Arabidopsis thaliana: one gene and its partner. The protein of the gene in region 1 interacts with the protein of each later gene in a pairwise test. Each region holds a gene or a part of one and is shown in the gene's direction. Other genes may lie near its edges.

Region 1 (4,748 bases):
TACGCAACAACACATTGACCTGCTTACCAGAAATTCTTGAAGCTTCCACAATGTTATTCAAGTCAAACTCACTATCAACATTTACGAAAACACCTTCTTGAGCAGCTAGAACTAAATCTTCCAAAGACTTTCCATTTCCATTGAAAATACACCTATTCATTTCATCCACACCGAAGACATGGTCAAAAACTACACATCAACATGAGACCAAATAAAAAAATATTCAAACTTTATTATTGGGGATAAAGAATCGTACTTTGTGGGATCGAAACCAGCAAGAAGAGCAAGCCTGAGCTCATTTCCACTAACCAACACAGCACCACAGCCCAAACTCCTCAAATGCTCCAAAATCTTGAGATTGTTATTAGCTTTAATAGCGTAACCAATAACAGATCTCACTCCTTCCAAAGCCTCTTTATAAGCCTCAAGGTTTCTCGTGATCTGAGGTTTGCTATATAAGTAAAAGGGTCGTTTCTCGACTGTTTCCATGATATCTTGAACCTTGGTTCCTTCGCAATAGAGAAACCCATCTGATGATTTCTTGAAACAGTGGTCGAAAGAGGAAGCAGATTCTTTCGTGAGGGTTTTGGTGGAGTTTTGGGAAACGGCGGCTTTGACGGAGAGGCGTTTAAGTGGCTTCAATGTTGACTTGAGAGACAAAAATGGGATTCTTGAGAGTGAAGTCTGATTCAATTGGTACTGATTTAGGGTTCCGCGGATTGATGAAGGTTGGGAGAGAAATTGAGTAACTGCCGCCATGGCTGGAGGATTTTTGTTAGGTGTGCGACTGTTACAGTAACACTGAAGGGTTTAGAAAAAAAAAGTCAACAAGTTTAAGAGTAGTTCCTGTCGGGTCCGGTTTTAGATATCCGACAATATCGAACCGGTGGTTATAGTCGAACCGATGGTTAAAAGAAGAAAGAACAAAGTCGATTTTAACTTCTTTTGGATATGGTTTTTGTCCTTGGGGGATAGTTTCTGCTAGTGTTTGTTTTGTTCGGTTGTGTTAGTTGTGTGTTGTAATAATCTTGATGCTTAAGGGGTCACCTAAAGCAGTCATGGAAATCTAGCCCTATCTATAAAAATTTGCCATTTCTCATCACCTACCAATACTTCTATTTGTTCGTATTATGCGGATATTCAGAGGATAATGTAAAACATTTTGTTGAATGCTAACGATGAAGTGCTCTATCTAGCCGTGCACGTTGTGGAGAAGTTATGTTTTAGAATCCACATTTGTTGAAGTTATGCTTATCATACTCTCTTAATTATCTATATCTATTACAAAGAGCAAGGAATGTTCTTAGTTAGGATTTGTTTTGTTTGGCAACCATTGCTTCTGGTTATTTGTGCTCTGCCTCCTTTGTAAGTTAGGATTTGTTTTATTCTTACAACTTTGCTTCTCTCGTCATACTATATAATCTCTGACTATGTATGTAATTGCATTCATGTCGATGGTTGTGGGATGTATATTTAGGTGTTTGACTGTAAGACGTTAAAAACAAACTTTACCATAAGTTATTGGGATGTCTAGACACTTTTATGGTTTGGTGAAGTAGGCTCAATGTTTTGCCCTTTATGTTTCCATTGTTGATGTTTATGTACCTTGCTGGTTGGAACCACTTGTGGATGTTTCCGACAATGCTTCTCTGTAATGCAGTTATCTTTTAATGAAATGTGATCGATCTTGAGTGTTATTTATTTTTATTTTTTTAAAGACTTTATGGTGTGGACACTTGACCGGGTGATAATTGGTAACTATACTACATAGTTAGAGAGCTCTTGAATTATTAATCACGCTAAATCTTGGGAATTGAGAGCTCGGAAGCAAAGGTTATTAACAAAATTCAAAGCAGAGCAGCATTGCCGATGAAATAATTATTGACTTGGGATTTACTCTCTGAAGTCTGAACCAAATCGAGATTATTCTAATTATATTTTTAATTTCGGATCCCTAATCTATTAATACTCCAATATCTGCACTCATTTAATTATTTCCTCTTTTTTTAACCTGCACTGACTTAAATTCAAACTTATTTCAATTGCGTGCACACTTTAGTGAACTACTACCACTATCACTATATGTGTCGGTGGATTATTATTTCCGTCATTTTGATATTTAATTACATCTTTAATTGTTACTCTTTTTTGCCCATTCTTCTTCTTCATTTGATTACATTATACTCTATTGTGAATTACTAAATTCTGAAAACAAGAAAAATTTGAGTACACAGGACACATCTTAGTATTACTCGTTACTAAAATACTACACGTGTAAATAATTTTTTCAGAAATAAATGGGGCCACTTTGTAAGTAATAAATCAGCTTACATTAATTATTTTACCACCCAATAAAAAGATTCCACAGACTTGGCATGGAAGTCATGAACATTCACAAAAATCTAAGAAAAACTGAAAACCGAAAAAAAAACAAATTATTAAAAAGCAATAAATAAATAAACTCAGAAAAAAAAGCTATTAAGATTCCACAAAAACTCTGTATTGTCTCTTTCTCTCTCACTATCTCTCTCTCTTTTGTGAGCTCAGATCTGACCAGAGAGAAAGAAACAACCGGAGAAGAAGAAGATGACTGACCGAGTCTTCCCAGCTTCCAAACCACCAACCGCCACTAATGGAGCTCCACCAGTTGGTTCCATACCACCTCCTCCAGCTCCGGCGACTGTAACCAGCAACGGAACAACAAACGGAATGGCTAATCAGAAACCTCAAGTCTACATTCCAGCTAACCGTCCGGTTTACCGTCCACAGCCTTACAGTCGCCGTCATCACCACCAATCTCGACCAAGCTGCCGACGAATTTGCTGTTGTTGCTGTTTCTGGTCGATTCTGATAATTCTGATCTTAGCTCTCATGACTGCAATCGCCGCCACCGCGATGTACGTGATCTACCACCCTCGTCCGCCGTCGTTCTCCGTCCCGTCAATAAGAATCAGCCGCGTGAACCTAACAACCTCCTCTGATTCCTCCGTCTCTCATCTCTCTTCCTTCTTCAACTTCACTCTAATCTCAGAGAATCCAAACCAACACCTCTCTTTCTCTTACGATCCTTTCACCGTCACCGTTAATTCAGCTAAATCCGGTACGATGCTCGGTAACGGAACTGTTCCTGCTTTCTTCAGCGATAACGGTAACAAAACTTCGTTTCACGGCGTGATCGCTACGTCTACAGCGGCGCGTGAGTTAGATCCGGATGAAGCTAAGCATCTGAGATCAGATCTGACGCGCGCGCGTGTAGGATATGAGATCGAGATGAGAACTAAAGTGAAGATGATAATGGGGAAGCTGAAGAGTGAAGGAGTAGAGATCAAAGTGACATGTGAAGGATTTGAAGGAACTATACCAAAAGGTAAAACTCCAATTGTAGCTACTTCTAAAAAAACTAAGTGTAAGTCTGATCTTAGTGTCAAGGTCTGGAAATGGAGTTTCTAGAGGGAATTTTGATAATTTCACAATTGAAATTTTCTATATAATCTTCTTCTTTTTTTCTTCTGGATTTTGTGAAACTTTTGGAATGATCCAAAAGGAGATTTCTTCAGTTGTTAGTTAAAAAATTTCAGAGAAGAGTCAGAGAGATAAGGTATTGTCAAGTAGAAGAAGGCCAGAGAATTCACGGCTTCTAAAAAAATTTCTTGGATTTTTGTTTTGTTTGGAACTTTCTTACTTGAATTTATATTTAATGGATACAGAAATATAAATGTAATACTTGTAACGAATGGAGTACTAAAAAGCTGGAGATTGCAGTGACTGCGTGATAGTGAGCATTAAAGTGAGATCGTAGTAGTAATAAACAGAACCTTAAAAATGGAAAAGATGCGTGGGGTTTGTGAGGAGAACAATGAAGAACACGAGAGATGTGTTAAATGTTAGATGTTGAACCATCTATCGCATTATACAACACCATTTAAGAGAAACGTGAATCGTCTTTAGTACTCTATAAAGCAAGCATATATTCTAGCAGTTGCATGTTATAAAATTAATACAGATCGATCACTCAATTCATGAATATGGTTTGATATAAACATTAAATTAAATGTCATGCTGTCATAAAAGATGAATTATATGGTTCATTTATCTAAGAAACTTTTTATTAACTAAGTAAGTAAAAGTTTGAAGAGGTCATTTGCAAGTGACTCCGACCAGGGATAGACTCCTGAAATCTTATCCAACTATGGACGACGACTTCATGTCGGTGTGTCCAAAAATGAGGAAAAGGAATCTGCCCAAGGGACAAATGGCATTACCCGAAACGGCAAAGAAGAACCGCAGGAAAAAAAGTTGACAATAACGTATGAGGTGTGACTGAAAAAGAAAAACTTGTAGTTTGGTTTATGACGTAAATGAATAATTTGGAAATGACAATAAGTCATCATATCTAATTTAGTGCATGACCTCCAACGTCGGCATATATTTGAGTCGGTGACCGGATATCCAGTACAAAGTAAAGTACAAACCAAAAAGAAAGACAAGACAATAAAATGGGTAAAGAAGACTTGCATACACGGACGTGATAGAAGAAGACATGCATAGTATAATTCTGACTTTCTGAGACCTTTAATGAAAATATTTGGCAATGTATTTCAAGAATAACTATGGCATATCTCTTAGATTTTGTGAAAATAGCCCATAATCGAAGAAGATGATAGTAAAAAACCGAGGCCCAAATAGAACCCATTTACCCAAAATATCAAAAAGATTAGTCGTTTGGCAATGAAATTAGAAGCCCAACA
Region 2 (4,707 bases), on another chromosome or scaffold:
TCTCTAGTTCTCTGTGTTCTTGTATATATGCACACCCCATGTTCGATGAAATTACGAAACCATGTAATCGTTATCAAATCCTCATCTATTTTCTTAAATGTTGCAGGAATCTGGGAAAGTAATCGTTTTTGGCTTAATTCTGATTTGGGTTCTTACTTATATAGTCAACATGCTTCTGGTTTCTCCTGCTTGTAGAGGTGTTTATCTTCAGACCATAGATCCAAAGCCAATTGATTTCTCAGCTAGAGCCTCTTATGCACTTTGCTTTCAGGTAACCATTTCATCTCCTGTAACTTTGATCTTGTTGATTCCTATCTTGAAGTTGTAAAGTTTGGATTTTTCTTCTTTTATGTAGATTCCTACTTCAATCCCTAAAAGAGAGTGTTTGATGAGGTTAGGAACGGTCTTTTGTTTTAATCAGAAGCATAGAGAGCAGACAAGTTTTAAGAAACGGTATGTATCTACGCAGAATGTGGATCTTCCTCCTATTTTACCAAAGAACAAGAAGAAACCTTATCCTATTCCTTTTAAGCAAATCCAAGAAGAGGCTAGGAAAGATAAGAAACTTGCTCAGATGGGTATAGAGAAACAGTTGGATCCTCCTAAAAATGGATTGCTAGTTCCCAATCTTGTTCCTGTGGCTGATCAAGTGATAGATAACTGGAAGTTGTTGATCAAGGGTTTAGCACAGCTTCTTCATGTTGTTCCCGTCTTTGCTTGTAGTGAATGTGGAGCGGTTCATGTGGCTAATGTTGGTCATAACATTAGGGATTGTAATGGTCCAACGAATTCACAGCGACGTGGTTCTCATTCTTGGGTTAAGGGTACCATTAACGATGTTCTTATTCCTGTTGAGTCGTACCACATGTATGACCCTTTCGGGCGGCGGATTAAGCATGAAACACGGTTTGAGTATGAAAGAATCCCAGCACTTGTTGAGCTATGTATTCAAGCTGGAGTTGAGATCCCTGAGTATCCTTGTCGCAGAAGGACACAGCCAATCAGAATGATGGGGAAGAGAGTGATCGATCGAGGTGGATATCATAAAGAGCCTGAAAAGCCTCAGACATCATCATCATTATCATCTCCATTAGCCGAGCTTGATACTCTTGGTGTTTTTGAAAGGTATCCACCTCCCACTCCAGAGGATATACCTAAGATAGCACAGGAAACAATGGATGCTTATGAGAAAGTGAGATTGGGGGTGACGAAATTAATGAGGAAATTCACAGTGAAAGCATGCGGATATTGTTCTGAAGTGCATGTAGGACCATGGGGACATAGTGTAAAGCTGTGCGGAGAGTTCAAGCACCAATGGAGAGATGGGAAGCACGGATGGCAAGATGCTCTTGTGGACGAAGTCTTTCCTCCAAACTATGTATGGCATGTGAGAGACCTTAAGGGAAATCCGCTTACCGGAAACCTCAGAAGGTTTTATGGTAAAGCCCCTGCTTTGGTTGAGATTTGTATGCACAGTGGAGCTCGGGTTCCTCAACGCTATAAGGCCATGATGAGGCTTGACATCATTGTTCCTGATTCACAGGAAGCCGACATGGTCGCATAAGTCCTTGGAAATGTTCAAAGTAGAACTCCTTTGTTAGGATAAAGAAGCTGAAAATAAAATGAGCTGGCTAGCTAGGATCTTTCCTCGTAGGAGACATTAGAAATCTTGTCATATAGTGTATTTTGCAATTTGGGTGTAAAATATTTTAGAAATCTTGTCATATAGAAATATTTTAGATATTTGTTTGATTCTCTATCATTGACAACTAACCCGGTCACTGGTAATTATAATGGAGACGACTTCAGTGGTATTTGTTTAAATTATTTCTTTGTCTTGAAAGATTCTAAAGATGTTTTGATCCAACGAGTTTTTGCTGAAAAACTGAATGATGGAAACGGATTTCTCGTTGGTGCGTAAGGAGGAGGAAGAAGAAGAAGATAACAGGAATGGGATGAGTTATTTGTCAATGGAGATGATGAAGAAGGTGAGCTCCATGGCGGCTCCAATGGTGGCAGTTTCGGTTTCTCAATTCCTCCTTCAAGTCATCTCCATGGTTATGGCTGGTCATTTGGACGAGCTCTCGCTCTCAGCTGTCGCAATTGCCACTTCCCTCACCAATGTCACTGGTTTCAGCCTCATCGTTGGGTTTGCAGGTGCGTTAGACACTCTTTGCGGTCAAGCTTTTGGAGCAGAACAATTTGGAAAAATTGGTGCATACACTTACAGCTCAATGCTCTGTCTTCTCGTTTTCTGTTTTTCAATCTCTATCGTATGGTTTTTCATGGACAAGCTCTTGGAGATTTTCCATCAAGATCCTCTCATCTCTCAATTAGCTTGCAGATACTCAATCTGGCTCATACCGGCTTTATTCGGATTCACTCTTCTTCAACCTATGACTCGGTATTTCCAGTCACAAGGAATAACTCTTCCTCTCTTCGTGAGCTCTCTTGGAGCTCTTTGTTTTCACATTCCTTTCTGTTGGCTTCTTGTCTATAAACTGAAATTTGGAATAGTTGGCGCCGCTTTGTCCATCGGTTTTTCATATTGGCTCAACGTATTTTTGCTTTGGATTTTCATGAGATACTCTGCTTTGCATCGTGAAATGAAGAATCTTGGTTTGCAAGAACTCATCTCGAGCATGAAGCAGTTCATCGCCCTCGCGATCCCCTCTGCAATGATGATATGGTAATTTACATATCTACATCCAAAAAAAACAAATCTCAGCAAGATTTAAAAGCTTCTTGGTCTGACTCTGATCTACAATGAATCCATAATTTTTTTTGTTCTTTGTTCTTTCTTTTTTTGTGTGTAAGTAAAGCCTGGAATGGTGGTCGTTTGAGATTCTACTACTAATGTCTGGACTCTTACCAAACTCAAAGCTCGAAACATCGGTGATATCCATTTGGTACATACATATCATTTTGTAAAATAATTCAAACAGTCAAAAAGCTTGTGATATTCCTAACTTCTATTCATGGAACAGCCTCACAACATCGGCTGTGCATTTCGTTCTGGTGAATGCGATAGGAGCATCCGCAAGGTTTTATAGATTTCAATTGTTCACAAGAATCTGATTTTTTCATGTAACATAGTATCTCTTAACCTATTTTATCCTGTTTAACACTATAGCACACATGTCTCAAACGAGCTAGGAGCTGGAAATCATAGGGCAGCTCGAGCCGCGGTTAATTCTGCCATTTTCCTTGGTGGTGTTGGTGCATTAATAACAACCATCACACTTTACAGTTACCGAAAAAGTTGGGGTTATGTATTCAGCAACGAGAGAGAAGTGGTTCGCTACGCAACCCAAATCACACCCATTCTCTGCCTATCCATTTTCGTTAACAGCTTTCTCGCCGTGCTCTCAGGTAAGACGATTATACTTTGTTTCTTGAACCCCAAGAAAGTAGGTTCAAATCAAGAATTCTTTCATATTTCAGGGGTTGCCAGAGGATCAGGGTGGCAACGTATAGGAGGTTATGCAAGCTTAGGATCATATTATCTTGTCGGAATCCCGTTAGGATGGTTCTTGTGTTTTGTCATGAAATTGAGAGGGAAAGGACTTTGGATTGGTATACTCATAGCCTCCACTATCCAACTCATTGTTTTTGCTCTTGTCACCTTCTTCACCAATTGGGAACAAGAGGTATATAAATTACTAATCATTTTACTTCTAGTTACGGTTACAGTTTTGAATCTGGTTTTGGTTTGTGTTTCAGGCAACGAAAGCTAGAGACAGAGTATTCGAGATGACACCTCAAGTCAAAGGCAACCAAAAAACACAAATTATAGTAGAAGAGGATACACAAGTTTTACTTAATCATATTGCAGAAACTGTGTAAAAGTGTAAAACCACTTAATGCAACTCTATTGGTCTCCTTCGTTTTAGCATCTAATTACTACTCTTGGATGCTTTACATTTGCATGATGTGTGATTTTAAAATTCTATGATCGATGCGTCTTGAGAATATAGATTCTTATTTCAAGTTTGTCAGGGCACACACTACCCATTTCACTTTAGAAGAATTTGGAATCCAATTTTATGCACATAAACTAACAGAGGTCACCTAAAACCATTTGCCTAAAGATAGATGCGAAGTTATGAATTCCTTAAATACAGAAAATTTGAAAGTTTGGATGTATTTGTTTCATTAAACACCATACGAAAACTATCATAAGTTGAAACGATACATAAAAGATCAACATGGTCACTCGTAAGAAATTAGACTTACAAATTGAGTAGTCTAATCTTTTTTTTTTTTTAGACTATCATATTTTTACTATTTTTATTAGAATTTGTTTTATTTCTCACGAATAACTCTTTCTCTATATAAATTCTAAAAGTATTAAATCTTCAACATCTATGCATGATATATGTGTTTGTAAACGTTAAATAAAAATGATAATGCAAACATAGTCGCTACACGCTAACACAAACACTAAAAATTTAAGACCAGTTTTATTATAGGTATGTAGCATGTACTTCAGGAGAAAAATACACTATTCTTAAGAAATAAATTGGGTAGTATAATAAGAATAAGAAGGTTTAGTGAGCTACATTTGAGAGCAATCCGTTTTCTTAAACGACACAGTTCCAGAAACAGTGTCGTATCCAACAAGGAAGTTCATTTGCGCCAAGTTTCCAAAAATGGTTAGTTGTTCATTTGCAGCAAATGCAAAGCAAGACACATCTTCAGACACTG

Evidence for each region.
Region 2: the proteins of EMB3135 (region 1) and AT1G64820 interact in a protein complementation assay, tested with the Arabidopsis thaliana proteins (one large-scale study listed by BioGRID).

What each region holds. Positions count from the first base shown.
Region 1 is NC_003076.8:3,829,184-3,833,931, forward strand, and holds EMB3135 (harpin-induced protein), read left to right. Parts: upstream 1-2,316; 5' UTR 2,317-2,586; coding exon 2,587-3,450; 3' UTR 3,451-3,968; downstream 3,969-4,748. Other genes in the region: AT5G11880 (Pyridoxal-dependent decarboxylase family protein), read right to left, coding at 1-152, 257-759.
Region 2 is NC_003070.9:24,086,713-24,091,419, forward strand, and holds AT1G64820 (MATE efflux family protein), read left to right. Parts: upstream 1-1,892; coding exon 1,893-2,689; intron 2,690-2,822; coding exon 2,823-2,909; intron 2,910-2,987; coding exon 2,988-3,044; intron 3,045-3,133; coding exon 3,134-3,372; intron 3,373-3,444; coding exon 3,445-3,650; intron 3,651-3,723; coding exon 3,724-3,846; downstream 3,847-4,707. Other genes in the region: APO1 (APO RNA-binding protein (DUF794)), read left to right, coding at 98-271, 356-1,564; AT1G64830 (Eukaryotic aspartyl protease family protein), read right to left, coding at 4,559-4,707.